Linked DNA regions of Arabidopsis thaliana. The protein of the gene in region 2 interacts with the protein of the main gene of each other region in a pairwise test. Each region holds a gene or a part of one and is shown on either strand. Other genes may lie near its edges.

The links.
Region 1: the proteins of TIP1 (region 2) and CESA6 interact in a two-hybrid assay, tested with the Arabidopsis thaliana proteins (one study listed by BioGRID).

The regions. Positions count from the first base shown.
Region 1 is NC_003076.8:25,879,327-25,887,251, reverse strand, and holds CESA6 (cellulose synthase 6), read right to left. Parts: upstream 6,220-7,925; 5' UTR 5,698-6,219; coding exon 5,617-5,697; intron 5,223-5,616; coding exon 5,027-5,222; intron 4,939-5,026; coding exon 4,736-4,938; intron 4,653-4,735; coding exon 4,375-4,652; intron 4,293-4,374; coding exon 4,026-4,292; intron 3,943-4,025; coding exon 3,597-3,942; intron 3,410-3,596; coding exon 3,272-3,409; intron 3,186-3,271; coding exon 3,060-3,185; intron 2,949-3,059; coding exon 2,736-2,948; intron 2,653-2,735; coding exon 2,376-2,652; intron 2,291-2,375; coding exon 2,094-2,290; intron 2,012-2,093; coding exon 1,661-2,011; intron 1,501-1,660; coding exon 919-1,500; 3' UTR 524-918; downstream 1-523. UniProt on the Arabidopsis thaliana protein: Catalytic subunit of cellulose synthase terminal complexes ('rosettes'), required for beta-1,4-glucan microfibril crystallization, a major mechanism of the cell wall formation. Involved in the primary cell wall formation.
Region 2 is NC_003076.8:6,874,477-6,882,263, reverse strand, and holds TIP1 (Ankyrin repeat family protein with DHHC zinc finger domain-containing protein), read right to left. Parts: upstream 5,824-7,787; 5' UTR 5,493-5,823; coding exon 5,235-5,492; intron 5,131-5,234; coding exon 4,990-5,130; intron 4,869-4,989; coding exon 4,756-4,868; intron 4,261-4,755; coding exon 4,181-4,260; intron 4,080-4,180; coding exon 3,916-4,079; intron 3,612-3,915; coding exon 3,473-3,611; intron 3,375-3,472; coding exon 3,275-3,374; intron 2,910-3,274; coding exon 2,852-2,909; intron 2,729-2,851; coding exon 2,651-2,728; intron 2,543-2,650; coding exon 2,444-2,542; intron 2,092-2,443; coding exon 2,013-2,091; intron 1,918-2,012; coding exon 1,769-1,917; intron 1,567-1,768; coding exon 1,162-1,566; 3' UTR 758-1,161; downstream 1-757. Other genes in the region: Phox3 (Octicosapeptide/Phox/Bem1p (PB1) domain-containing protein / tetratricopeptide repeat (TPR)-containing protein), read left to right, coding at 1-143; BG5 (beta-1,3-glucanase 5), read right to left, coding at 6,413-7,477.

The DNA.
Region 1 (7,925 bases), about 19 Mb from region 2:
TCCTTATGCTTCCGTGTCACTTACGTACTACCCACATTTTTATTTCAGCCGCCAAAGGAACAGTAGACATTACATATACACACGAGTATTTTTGCTGAAATGTGACAAAATTAGAAACTTTTATTTCAAAAATGACTCGAAATTAAAGTCCTCTTTCTGGTATCTATGTGTAGACATTTTAATAAAACTAGAACGATACAAAAATATTAAATTACTTTGCGTAGTGACACTTACAAATGAGAAACAAAAAAGTTTTCAAAATTCTCTAACCAAAAAGACTAACCAATCTGAGTGCTGCCCTCTGCAGATATGATGAAAGCACCATGTCACTTGTCAAAACAGAACCAATAAAAGTGTAAAAGGCTGTGTAGATTCGGGCCTGTATTGGGCCTGTATAATTTGTTTTGGGCCACTCTGATCAAGTTCGTAATTTTCTAAGGTTTGGTAACATTTTTAATGGATGCTTTAAAACGTCTCCAAGCATGCGGATTGAAAATCAAAACCAATCAAACCTCGAGTAAATTAATTTTTCAAACAAGAAATAAGATAGGGAAATTAGTGAAAATAAATCAAAGTTCTTTAATCATAAAAGATTACAGATTGAAAATGCTCTTCTGTAATATTCAAAAGAGATCAGAAATATTCAATTAAAGAATAATTTGACAAATCTTTTTTCTCTCACCACCAAAGAACAAAACAAATAGACAACAACTTTCTTCTTCATCTCTATATCTACAACACATTCTTGCAAAAATAACAATTCTCGTAACAAAATTAAATCTTCTTTTTCTTTTCATTTTTCATCATCTAATGAACACAATGAAGGAGTCTTTTAGAGGTAAAACAATATCTCTCTTACCTCTCTTTGATCCGTGGGAATTAAACCTTTTTCACCAACCCATCCACCGGTCAATCGAATCACAAGCAGTCTAAACCACAGATCTCGAGAATAGGACCGCCTTTCGCCACAAACGGATTAACCCGGACCCAAAGAAGTGTAAGAATCGAGGCCAGGAGGATGGACCAGACGACAATAATGGTTGGCATTCTATCTTGTTTCCCAAGCAAACCTTTAAGGAACGGGTAAAGATGAATGATGACCCAAAGTGCAAAGAACAGTCTTCCGAAAAGCGGTCCCCACGAGTCGTATCCATTGCTGATGGCATCAGAGACTCCGACTATGACTCCAATGACGTTTATGATGAGTAGAGTCATTGGAGGGATGAGAAGTGAAGTCCATTTGAAGAGGTAAAGGTCAGAGAACTCTCCATCATCAGCTGCTTTTGATGTGACTGTGAAGTTAGTGTCGACACCAGCAAGAACCTTGAGGAGACCTTGGAAGAGAGCAAACAGATGCGCAGAAACACCTCCAATGACCCAAAACTGTTCGTTTCTCCACCAATCATCGATCCCAACTTTGCCCCATTGCATCTCGAGAATACCCGTTATTGCAATCGACGAGAAGAGCGCCATGAAGAGGATACTCGCATAGTTGCTAATCTGGAAAAAGAAGGAACAAGAATCGTTTTCCGGTCTTAAAACACACAACTTGGAATAAAGATTCATATGATACTTTTAACCCCCAGTGGCAAGGAAAATGAATAAGCACAAAACGTGAAATAAAGATTCATATTTTGAGAACTCAAGATGATTGTTTTACCTCGGGAACGATGAATTTTCCAGTGAGAAGACAGATGGCAGGGAGAGAACAGTAAACGATGAGCGGTAGAGAGGTCCACGGGTAAACCACAGAGTTAATGTAGGACAACCGCTCAAGCCATTTCAACCCACCTCCATAACCATACCAAATAGGACAATGCCTACTCAAGAAAATCTCAACCGACCCAAGCGCCCATCGAAGAACTTGATGGAGACGATCCGAAAGATTGATTGGAGCTGATCCTTTGAAAGCCGCTAACTTTGGTGTACAATAAACAGATCTCCAACCATGAGAATGCATCTTAAAACCCGTAAGAATATCTTCGGTAACAGAACCATAGATCCACCCAATCTGAGATTTTTTTCACAAGGTCATCATCAAAATCAAGAATTGATTGAATAAACACAACAAAGGTTTAAAACCGGCTGCTTACCTCTTTTCCCCATTCAGTTTTATCTTCATATCCGCAACTAATGACTTGGATGGCTTCTTTAAGCAGACAAGCCGGGCTTGCGTTTCTAGCCATCCCACCATTCTCCATACGCGCAGATGCAACAAATACAGGAGACTGCCCAAATTTCTTCTCCAACTTCATTTGCATTGCCTCGGTTGACTGTTCTACGTTAGAACCTAGAATGTTTTTTAAATTTTATTTTTTTAGTAAAATGCACCGACTAACGAAAGAGTTTAACAACAAACAGGATTTGTATGATACCTTTAGTGACGCGGCCCTCTTCGATATTTTCTAATGCGTGGATCTGCTTTGACGCTTCCCTATTCTTCTTCTTCTTATCCGCAGCCACTGTCTTTGCTTTACGATTCTTTCTTGAACCAAAACATAGGAGACACCATTTTGGCCAGCAATTGCATGTCTTACGTGGGCCCTTCTTCTTCTTCGGTGCATCAAATCCGTAAAGCGCTTGCCTCCTGAAAACACAACCTGTACCGACGTATATAGGCCCTTGTAGCCCATCCAAACCTTTCATATTGATCTGTAAATAAAGATTCATTAGTTGGTATTCTACAGAAATCTCAAGAAAAAGGGATACAATAGGAAAGTGGTGGCTGTACTTACATCAAAGAACACAACATTGCGATTTGAGTATCGATCGTGCCTATCAATCCCATCGAACCTTTGAGGGAACTGAACATAACAGATTTTCTTTCCTGACTGAGGATCCATCATGAAACACATTGCTTCTCTAAGAGCTTTGCTATTGTTGATGTAGTGATCACAATCGACATTCAGAAGGTAAGGAGCATTTGATAGAACCCCAGAGACTCGTATCTTCAACAAAAGTTTTGTAGATGAAATCAAGAGTCAGGAACCATTTCAATAAATGGCAAGACGTAATTTACAAAGAAGAAGGTTTAGAGCTTTAAAAAGTATATCATTTACCAGGGAATTCATAGCTCCAGCCTTCTTATGGTGATCAAATCCGGGTCTCTTCTCACGAGAAACGTAAACTAATCGAGGCAACTCGTTGTTTTCGACATCACGAACACCGTCACTTCCAAGGAAGACCTTTAACAAGAAAACAAAGTATAATTAAATTTTGAAGGACAACACATAAGAAGGCTTTTCAGAAATAAGAAGCATTTGAAACTCACCTGAATCATGCCAGGATGATCTCGCACACTATTACCGGGCCAAGGTGTACCGTCTTGCATAGTCCAACCATCCTCAGGCACTTTCTGTGCTGTTGCTACTAAAGCATTGATCTTTACTTTGAATTCTTCATAATCTCTCTGTCAAAACCAGTAAAACACACAATCTTTCAAATCAATTTTCAAAGCCACCATCTTCTTTCATAAGAGCCCATATAACAAAAGATTGATAACTTTTCTCATGAATTTTTTTTTTCTAAAGCAAGAATCAATTAGACCAAAACTTTTCTCATCAAATCAAATTTATAAAAAAGTAAGAACTAGTAACCTTCATGGCTCGCCGCTCCCTAACAAATGCGGGATGAACTTTATTCTTCAAGTAGTCCATTTTATGGCAGAAATACCATTCGGGAGCACGAGGCTCAATACAATATTTCTTGCAGAAAGGAACCCATTTCCTTGCGAATTCAGCGGTCTCAGAAAGAGCTTCGAAAGTAAGCATAGCAGCACCATCATCAGATACGTAACAAGCAACCTTATCGACAGGATAATCAACAGCAAGAATAGACAAGACAGTATTTGCAGTAATAAGCGGAGGCTCTTTCAATGGATCCACTGTACTAACAAATACATCCACAGGGGATAGTCCCGACGGTTTCCCTTCTTTCTCATATCTGCAAACAAAAAAAATAAGGATTATATCCCCAAAACAAAGTTTTAACATTTCCAAGTGTAATAACCCACAAGATGTAAGTACCTTAATGAGAGTCGGTCCAAGTACGTTTCTCGCTCGATAGGGTACCATTTAGGGAACTGATCAAGAACCCATGAAACAGCAAACCATATCTCACATATAACAGAAATAAGCCACAAAGCATATGCATCTTTGACGGGGTGAAGAATACGGTAGTGAAAGAAGAGACCAAGAATCACAAGACGTAGCACAATTAACATCCGGTAAGGATTTATCTTGCTCGATTTGATTGGTATCTTCCTAGACAATGGCTGCCTTCCCTCATCCATCCTAAAATGGAAAAAAAAGGCTTGATAAATATCACTGCAACGGAACAAGACATCAACAAAAAAAATTATATTCTTTGCCTTACATTGGAAAATCAGCATCATCACCATCTTCAAAATCAGGATCTCCTTCATGCCTAACAACCTGAAGTTTCTCATTCTGCTTTCTCTTCCATTCCTCCATCCGATCTTTCCAAGCGACACTTCCATAACCATAAACCGCAAGATCTTTCTGAGGTACCATAGGCCTTGGATGTGCAGCCACGGTCGGGTCAGAAAGAGAAACAGGATGAACTCTATTGCCATGACCACCAAGTGAAGGAGGAACAATAAGAGCATGTCTATCAGAAGAAATCTCAACGTCCTGTAATAAAACAAAAGAGAAATCTGAGTGAGCCAATTACTGAAGATGGGTTATACAATGTGGATACATTCTGAGATTTTTACCTCGTCGCCGTAAGTCAGCAATGGAATCTGAGAGCCAGGTGGAGCTGAATCCAAATCAGATTGTGGGAAACCGGAGTTGCGACGAGAGATTGACATACCTTCAGAAACCTGATCAAATCCAATCCCATTATTTCCATACTCAAACTCATTGTCTAAATCATCAATGTCATCTTCCTCTTCATCACCTTCAACTCTTGGACTTCCTAACAAACAACAACATAGGCCGAACAAATCAGAAAATCTTCTACATTCACAAAAAACCAAAGAAATTTGGTCTAACAAACAACGAACCTTTAAGACGTTTGAAACGGGTTTTGCACTGTGGACAAGCTTGATTGCCTTCTCGTCTTTCGTACTCATAGCAAGGTCTACACACAGGGAATGCACATTCGTTACATGCCACAAACGGTTCTCCATCAACAGTCAATTCGATCTCATCTCTGCAGATTTGACATGTCTGTCCACTCAGCTCTTGGACTGATCTTATCTGCACAAAACAGTAGAGTTAAATACATCAGATCATAGTAGTGACACTATCAGACTGGATCTCACACCAGATCAAAGTAACCCAATAACATAATTATTACTCTTCACATTGATAGATTCATAATTGCAATTGAAGAAATCTCTTAAATTGGAGAATTAAGACAAGTCAAATCCGGAAAAATCCATCCCACCGACACAATCAATTCTTGATAAAATTAGCTACAAGGGTACGTAATCTTAATACTAGTACTAAAAACCCTAAATCTTAATTGATTTGCAGTGGTAAGAGCCAGATCCACAAGAAAAGTAAAAAAAGTCAGAGACTTTTGAACAGAGATAGAGAAACACAGATCAAAAGACAGAGAATTGGAAACAAAAGAAGAGGAGAAACATACTCGGGCATTCTCATCGGCATTAATGAGGACAAACTCATTCCTGTTGTGAGAACCGGCGATTAACCGACCACCGGTGTTCATATTTGTCTGAAAACAGACACAGCTAACAATCTTGGATTTCACAGATCGATTGAGAAAGAGAGGAATGTGTTGTAATTAACTCAACTCGATTGTCAGAGATCCAGAGACCATAAATCAGAGGATAGATAGCTCTCTTTCTCTCTCTCACACACACACAAAGCGGCAAACCGGAGTCTAAAAAAACAGACTTTGATGGGAAAAATATAATAAAAATACAAAAGGGGGAATAGTGAAGGTGTATTGTATATATGGAGATGGTATTGATTCAGCTGCAAGCCACAACCTTTTCTTTTCTTTTGGTTTTGGGCCTCTCTCTCCTCTCTGAAAGTGCACACAGTCACAGAAATAAAGGATGATTCCAGAGCGAGAGAGAGAGAGAGAGTCAATGGTGGAGAGAGAGAGAGAGACAGACGCAAGCCTGCGAAATGATGATAAAAGGGGGTTAAGTACAAACGCGTAAGGAAGAAGAGAATCAGTGATTAGTTAAATGGTGTGAGATAATTAAAGGCAATTATGTAGATGAGGAAAAAGAGCACCAAAATTAGATAAAATTAGTAATTAAATTTTGAGAAGTAAAAGAATGTGGGACCCATTAAACCTTGTGTGTATCTCTCTCTTCCACTCCACTTGTTGTTGTAAAGAAGAGATTAGTAAAAACTTCCAAACACACATTATTATTAGCCATTAATTATTAACAATACTGTATTATGTGATGCATTGAATCACCCTAACATTTTATTTTGTCTCTAAACTTTAGGTCTTTTGTTTTGTTACAAAAAAAAGTCACCTTTTTTTTTTGGGTGATTTTCTTCACCCTAAAATGTGTTTAATTTGGTTTCGGTTAAATTTTCCTACCATACATGTTTTAAATATATAGTAAAATCAAATCTACTTTGGATGGAGCCTTTTAGATTTAGTTTAGATCATATTTGGTTTATTAAATATATATATTTTAAAGTTAAAAAATGAAAATAATATAAATGAAGTGAAACTCGGTTTGAATTAATAACTACATTTTGAGCCAATTCAGAGTGGTTAGTCAATTTTCTCTATTAATCAATTGATAGCCGAGATTGTATATAATCATTATAATTTTATTTTCGTTTTAATTATTTGTCTGCGTACACTCTCACGTTCTTGCAACATGTGCAAGAAAATAATAGTTGTAATGAAATAGTATTATCTTAATTTAAGATTAAAAAAAAAGTTACACAATCAAGTTCTTAATTCCTCTAATTATTTTGTTAGAGAGACTTCAAAATGTCGAGAAACAGATATGGGCATTTACTTCCCAGACAAAAAACAATCTGTAAGCATCGTGTCCAAGATCCTATTTTCTAGTTTTTTTTTTTGTTCCTTCTAATTTTTTATATACTTTTTTTTTGTTCCTTCTAATTACGTTTAATTTTTTACTTATTAAATTTATTGCTTAAGTTAATTATGTTCTACGCATGGACTGTATCATGGTTTTTGACTGTTGACTGCATTGGTTTTCACTTTTGCTTCCCTCCTTCCTCTCTTATGTTTTTACTTTTCTAGTTTTTTTTGTTCCTTCTAATTACGTTTAATTTTTTACTTATTTAATTTATAGTTTACTTATTTAATTACATTTTTATTAGTTTAATATCTCCATCCTCTGATAATTTTCTTTTTAGTTTTTATAGTTAAATTATTTTTCAACTTTGATCACTCTCTTTTGTTCAATCAGTTCTGTTTATTTTACTATATTTTTTTGTATGTTATGTCTACCATATTTTTAAATAACATGCTTTTTTTTTTTTTAATCTTGGCTCCACTCGCCAAGTCGCCATATAGCTAATTTTTCCTCCGTGCTTAAATAAGAGAAAAATGTTCAAATTATTGAGACTATGGTATCACATCACACAAATATATGCGATTTGCCCATGTATGATGTCTATACTATATGTATACATTTGCCGACAAATAGTTCGTGGTATATATAAAACAATATTTTAACAGTATTTTGCTTGTTGATTTTTTTTAATCTTTTGACTTGTTGATAGATATAGTCCGGAAATTAAAGAAATATTAAGAAACTTTCATAAAAAAAGATCGAACTTTAGTAGGTTACCACATCAAATGTCGTTTTCATGATTGATTGAATGCTGTGTACTGTCTTCTCCAAGCCCTCGTGCCACATGTTCTTATAGAAACTGTCGGTGCCCTTATATTATTCTTTTTCCTAGTAAATATTGTTTTAATTTTCA
Region 2 (7,787 bases):
AAGAGATTATACAGATTTTTGACGAGATATATGAAGCAAAACATTGGACAAATGGGATCCCTTCAGACCAGTTGGAAGAGATACTAAAGAGAAGGGCTGAAAATATATTTCATGTGCCAAATATAGCAATCCAACGTGGTTGAAGCGGTTTCCATGACAAAGTGTCTCAGAATGATTTTGGTCATTATCTTGATCAAGCTTCATTTCAAGGTACATATATAATCTCACGAAATTGTTAGGTCTGACTTCTGAGGAACTAAATGTTGTTGGCCAGTGTTAGGGCTGAACCTTATGTTCAAGATGATAAAGAAACTTAATCAGACCAGACTATACTTAGTCCATTTCATTTCATTGTCCAGACTATGCTCTGTCATAACTACCTAACTTTTATTTTACTTATTGCGACTGTTATAGGCAATGCTTTTACTTCTTTGACCTGAACCAATAAGTGTTCACATTCTGGATACCACTTGGGTTTGAAATCATCAGCTAACCACAAAATCTCTCTTTGCAGGTTTTTGTCTTGTTGTGGTACAACCAAATTCAGATTTTTGTAGACAGAAAAAAACATATATGTTCTATTTTGTTTGTGTAACATTTATACCATTGATTTTGGTGAGGGGTGAAGCAAAGATATCATGCAGATTCTTCTTCTGCCACAGGGTGAGTTGTGACTTTATTCATTGGTTTATGACTCAGATTGCATTTGGCGTGAAACATTCATACACAAACAACAAATTGTTTTTTTTTTCTTTTTTTTTTCATTTTCTATTTTTGGGCCCTTAGCAAGATTTTGGTGCGGAGTCAGTCATTGTCTTGTAATTCGTTGTTACATATAAAATTTAATGATGTTTTTGTTACATATAAGCAAGTCGTATCAGTGTATTGACGGAGTCAAACTTCCATACCTCAGCCAGAAAACATAATGTACAACCATTTCTGTTATATTCTCTGTGTCATTGAGTAAACTGAATTCAACCAATAAGAAAATATACTCTAAAAATAATTGATAAGAAACATGACATTTAATTTTTGCATAGAAAATTGAAAACAAGGGAGTATTACTATCTTCACATGAAACGGATAATGATGTAATCAATGACTCGAGGAGAGAAAACGTGTTTCTTACAACACAAATGCACATTTGGGACACGGGCCATATTATGGAGATACAACAGGTCGGGTTGGGTTGCGGCTAAGACCAAGTCCCAAACCCAAAGGAACATTGTCACTCTTTGACTTACTATTATGGCTATGGCTGCAGTTGGCAGAATGAACATGTGCTGACTGTGAATTATGTGTCGGGTTAACATCGATAGCAACATGGCCATTGCCATTTTGAAGATTTGGATTCCGCTGCATCTGCATCATGCTAATACCCTCTGGTCTCTGTGTTGCGTCTTCTTCATGACACTCAATATCTTCGTTATAACCTTTTACTAAGAAGTCCGAGCAGTTTCTTCTGCACCCGAGATCATAAGGATTCCTAAACCGACCACCTGGACCTCTTAGGTAGCTGTACCGCAGGGCGTTGGCCATTTCATTTGTGGTTATGTTCCTTGATATCTGTAAGGGAAAATAGGGAGAATGGATCTTCAGGATGAGGCAAAACACCACGCCATGAAAATCGAATAATCTAGTCTACTTAGTGAGTTTTAGCTCTGGAGCTATTCTAGAGATGAGTAATCCGGGGAAGCAAAGTACGAAAGAGCAGCCTTTGTATGAGGAACAAAGATGTGCAGATAAGGAAAAAGGAATGAGGGCTCACTTGTGACGCTTGTATGACTGTTAAGACGGCGACAGAAAAGAAGAGGCAGAATTCCACTAGCAGAAAGGATAAAGCACCCACATGATTACTAGCGACATGGCTCATCCATGCTCCAAAAGAAGATGGAGCTGAAGGGTCACTCAAGACTCCTGCATGTAGATAATACAACATTTACATTTTTGTCCGAAAGTTTTCTCTACATTTACATATAATGATTAAAGGGCATTTTCCACTACAAACATACTTGCAAGAGTGACGCCACCAGTTATCAGCATCGCTAGAACTTCAAGTAGAAGAAAAAGAAAAAATTCCCACTTGTTTTTCTGCAAAATAGGTTGGAAAACAAGGACAATCCACAGATTAGTATCACAGACTAGTATCATGCTCGAGCTGCAAGACTAACAAATCAAACCACTAGCAACCAAAATAAATAGAAGAGGTGATATGACACCAAGAAGCATATCTGTTGATCTGTATACCCAAATATGCAACACAAATATACCACTAAGCATTTTCGAAAAGAACTGTAAGTTAGGTCACACCAAAAGAGACAATGAAGAGCAAGGCAGATTTAGTTTATATGAAATGTTAGTATCAAACAAAAGCCTGATCCGTCTACTCCTATTTTGCCAACTTCTATGTCAAAAACTAAAATAGGAAAGGAACTGTACTTACTTTTCCAACACAATTTGATACCCAAGGACAATGGTGATCAAATTGCTCTACACAACGATCACAGGTGGAACAGTGCTTAGCTCGAAGAGGTCTGATAATCTGAATAAAATGAAACACAGTGGACCAAAACAAGTAAATATGTAGCATCGATGATTAAGTATGGTGTTAAGATTGAAGAAAGACATAAAACGGAATTTGAGCAGGTACCTTGCATGTTGCACAGAGCTGTGTCCAATTCCCAGCAAGCAAAGCAGGATTGTTTAGCTCTATTTTTAAGAGTGGTTCCTGTAAAGGGGTAAGAAAACCAGTCAGACACTTGAACAAGAAAATAGTACTCAAAATCATACCGAACCGGATATAATATGGACAATTATGTAAGTTAAACTTGAGAATCAATAAGCTACTAACATCATCTTTCATGGTTTGCGGATCATGGATATTCATTCTGATGTAACCTGGATCCTTCCTGCAGAAAAAATAAAATTACAATATAAAACAATAAGAAAACCCGCTTCTTGTGATACAAAGGTATTTACACTACATGGAAAAATAAGGAGTTCACAATAGAAACTACAGCTGGAACGAAGTAAAGGCCTTAAAATCCCAAACTGCTATCGCTAGGTGATGAATGAAACCATGAAGAGAATCGGCTTAGAATACTATAATGTAATATCTTAATCTGCAACCGTCAGGTGAAATATAAGAAATTTATGCATAGTGAAGAGCCAAAGATACACTATACTAATAATCAGATAACAACAGAGAGCAGACATGGCTACTTTTAGAAGATATACGAAATGGAAATCGAGGAAGGACAGGGTGAGCATATACCTGCTACAGCGGTAGAACAAAAATAATCCTGCAGTTGCAAGAATGAATCCCAGCCATGCAAGCGCACCAATCCCAGTCGTTAACTTTGGCAGATTGGATGCTGCAATGGTCAAAGGGTTCATAAAATGATAGGCATGCATAGAACAGTTACTTGATATGATGCAGACAAAGGAGAATTGAGAAGGCCAAGGTAACTACCCAAAACAACCGAATTCGTATATACGAGCAGAAGCAGCAGGATCATGATCCAAAGAACTGGAGCGAGTCCCAACTTTGACAATCTTCCGAGGGGACTGCTTCCGTCACAACGCTTTTCAAGCAGGCTTCGAGCATTACCCTGCACAGTAGCGTTTATAAGACAGATTCAGACAAATATCGACACAATTTTCTCAATAATTTAAGCATAATGCTGCTCATTTTGAATGGATAAGAAAATCTACAGACTTGGAAAAACTAACATAGTACAGCTATAAGTAGAGTTAACTACACCAGGTATGCAAAGGTCAAATGAGATGCACATAACTGCCAATAAAATGATTCAACTACTAATTATTGCAAGCAGTACAGCCACTACGAAAGCATCAAATCAAACAGTATGAATACATATTGCTACACAACAAACAAGTAAAACAGATACCTACAAGGAAAAAAGAAACTTGTCTGTGATTCTTTTCAGCAGCAAGTTGCGCAGGGGTTAGCCCAGTCTTGTCAGTAATCATCAAATCCTCTTTCTTTCCAGCCTGCACCAAGACAGTGCAAGCCTCCAAATTACCTCGGATGGCAGCCCAATGCAGAGGAGTGCAACCTGATAACAGAATCAATATAACGGAGAAGATGTTAGAAACGTATAGTTAATCTAAGAAAATAAACAAAGAAGATTTAAAAAAAAAATATGTTTGTAACCACCTTCTTTGTCTTGTCGTCCTCTATATGCATCTAGAAATAAAAGTAGGCGAATGGAATCTGCAAAACCTTTATATGCAGCCCTGAATTTCTCAAATTATGAGAAGAATATAAAGACGAAATTAGAACTGTCTTCTGAAAAGATACTGTAAAAATAGGATAAAATCAAAAGGTCAACATAAGAAAGCTAAAAATCATGCAGTAGAATAATCCATGTAACGGTAACGAAGTCTCAGTAAGAAAAACGGGAGAGAAAATAACCTATGTAACCTTAGTCTCTAGATGGAAAACAGTAATACGTATTCACAAATCTTCATAACAAAAACTCGAGAACTATCATAGGCAAATAGTTGACAAAAATTAATTCTAATCCACCCAGTATACTTGGCAACTAGAACAAAATTGAACGAAGAGATATTAAATCTATAGGAATAATAAGAAAAGGGAACAAATAAAACCAATTATCCAGTCTCCAAATAAGCGTGCAAGGCTAAACAATTGTAAGAAAAAATAAAAAGAAGCCAAAAACCAATTACTAAGTAACAATTTCACGAAGGCAAGCTTTGCAGCAAGCATACCAATGCAAGGGGCTTCTTCCATCATTATCAGGCACGTCAGGATCAGCATTCCACTTTGAGACAACGTGACAAAGAAAAGCAGTCTGGCCATACTGTGCGGCAACATGTGTTGCCTACAAGCAGTTCAAAATTAAGTATTAACATACACCCATTGAGAACTAAACAAGAAAAGAAGGGAAATTTGATAGAAGTCAGCAGAGAACATGGACGCGTAGTTAAAGAAGAGATATGAACCTGATAGCCATACATATCCGTTGCATCTACTCTTGCACCCTCTTGTAATAACAGTTCTGCAACTTGTATCGCACCACGAACAGCACTCCAATGCAATGCAGTCTGTCCAGTATGATCCGTCGCGTTTACATCTCCACCATGCTGGAAAAACCAGAAATCGAGAAGGATCAGTTTTAGAAACTTGAAAACCACTAGTTCAAATCTAATTTAGCAATCAACAAACAATTCGTAAAATGACACAAAACCTCGATAAGGTACTGGGCAACGGCGACGCGGTTGTTCAAGGCAGACCACTGAAGAGCATAGTAGCCAAGAGCATCAGGCTCGGAAACAGAGGAACCCTCACACTCAACCAATCTATGAAGCTTCTCCAAATCACCATAAGCGGCAGCAGTATAGACATCGTTCTTCAAGCTCTCTTCTTCAATCCCTTTAGAACTCGATTCCCCATTCTCCTTGGGATTCGATTGGATTTCTTCCACCACCTCAATCTCCGATGACATTTTTTTCTTTTCTCAGAAGAAATTGAGATCGATCGAGATTCGATTCCCTCCCTAATGGATTTTGACCTTTGATTAGTCTCCCCCGAGCATAAATAAGTCGTGAGATTTGGGGGGAAATGAGGGAAGGAGCTAGGTTTTTTCTGGGGGAATCAGAGGAAGAAGAAGAAGAAGAATATGATTGACGAACTCAAAAAATTGACTAAGAATCGGATTAAGACGGGTCAGAGACAGACTTGCTCTCAATTCTTATCGTTCATTCATTTCATTAACTTTTTTTTGTCAAACAAAACCCAACATTATTTTATTTTTTGGTTTTAGTGTTAACCAAAAAAAAAAAAACCAACATTTATAAATTGATTAATTTCATGATCATTTTTTTTTGTATGTAATGGGAAATATTATACCTGGCTAGTTGAGTGATATATATATAGTTCAATGGAATATGAACGAATCAAAACATCTGTCTTAATCATAAGAGATACTTTTTCATTTTTCATATCTTGACAAAAAGAGTTATATTATAAATGTTAAGAAATCTTTTATAAAACCTTGAACTATTGAATCATTTTGGGACAGTGATTTCTTATTTTGATAAAAAAAACACTGGTTTGCATATATATATAAAAAAAGTATTATTTTGAAAATGCATACTCTTGTATTAATAGATGAAGAAACATAATGGAATGATTTTAGAAGAAAAAAAAATATATGAAGAAACATAGTACGTTTACTAAACCAGAGAAATTGCTTTTAAATAATAATAATTTTACAAAAGTCAACTAAGTTCCGCGACGAGATCTCATCATCTCAGTTGCTTATAGTATGTGTATATATCACTGTTAGTTTTACTTTAATTCACTAACAACTAGTGTAACATAATTATTGATGAATCGGGAAAGTCTAAGCAACTTTCACACATATTAGAATAGATTGTAGATGGGCTTCATATCATTCGGATTGTATAACCCAAAGTTTTGTTCAGTCCCGACCGGCTTTTGATTTTCATTGAAAGTTGCAAACAAAAACCCGTCGATGCCTTTGTTAGGCCTTTTAGGTGTACCTTTTCCGCTTGCTATATGCTTCACGAAATTTCTGTTATAGGTACCCGCGATATCCGGCGTGGTAATGTTTCCATTCCCGGCAGATGGCCATCCGGTCTCGGACACCACCATTGGTAAATCTTTAACGCCTTCCTTCTCCATTGCCCACACGAACGCATCAAAGATTGCATCAAACATGTTTGAATAGCCCAGTGATCCATCTTGTACCACGATGGCCTCAGTGTTGAAGGTGGCATAGTCCAAACGGATGCTAGATGGGTCGGACGCATAGGAGAAGTAAGGGTAGATTTTTACGAGGATAGGCGAATTTGTTTGGGATAATAGTTTCAGCACGGGGACAAGTTGTTCACGCGCTTGAGACGTGAACATTCCTGCGGAAGGTGGGTATGATTGCTCGAGGTTCCACATAGCCACCACCGTGCTTATCGAGATAGGAAGATTCCTTGACTTGACGAGGTTGGTGAGAGACTGCATGACTGGAAGCACTTGAGGACCGATTGGTCCGGGGATGACTTCGTTACCAACAGTAATGAACGCGATGTTGATGTCGGATAAGTAAGGCTCGATGTTGGTCGCAAACCAGCCCTTAACAGCTTCTTCGCTAGCTGAAAGAGCAGCCAAGTCCTGGTCCCTAACTCCTACTGTGACCGCAATATCACGATGGCCACGTAAAGCGTTAAGAACCTCAGTGTTTGGGTCGAAGATTCGGATTTTAGTGATGTCTATGGACTTGTAAAGGGTTATAACTTTTGACGGAGATGGGAGGTTATCTCCGAGGAGACCGTAGTTCAAGCCAATGCTATTTGCTGCGTTTACGAAGCCAATGCTATTTGCTGCGTTTACGAAGTCACTATTGTTGTAGTTGACAATCACCACAATGCACGAGAAGAAGAACAAGAAGAGTTTCTTAGGCAAATAGAGCATGATGAAACTTTTTTTCTGCAAAATGTGTGTATATAGAGATATCCTAAGATCGTACTTCTATGAAGAAGAAGAAGAGAACCAAACTTGATTTGTGTTATTATGTTTTGTTGCAAAATATTTGTTTGCATATATAGATGCATATCTGAGTCTATTTTCAGTCTTATTGGTATGAATAAAATAGTAAAATTCTTTTATTTTGGTTCTTGGTGTAATCTTAGCCCTCGATCTATTTACAAATTTGGTGTTTTCTTTTTTAACTAGTTACTTTCTATTTACATTTTATTGTTTAACTGAATCTTACTATTCCATA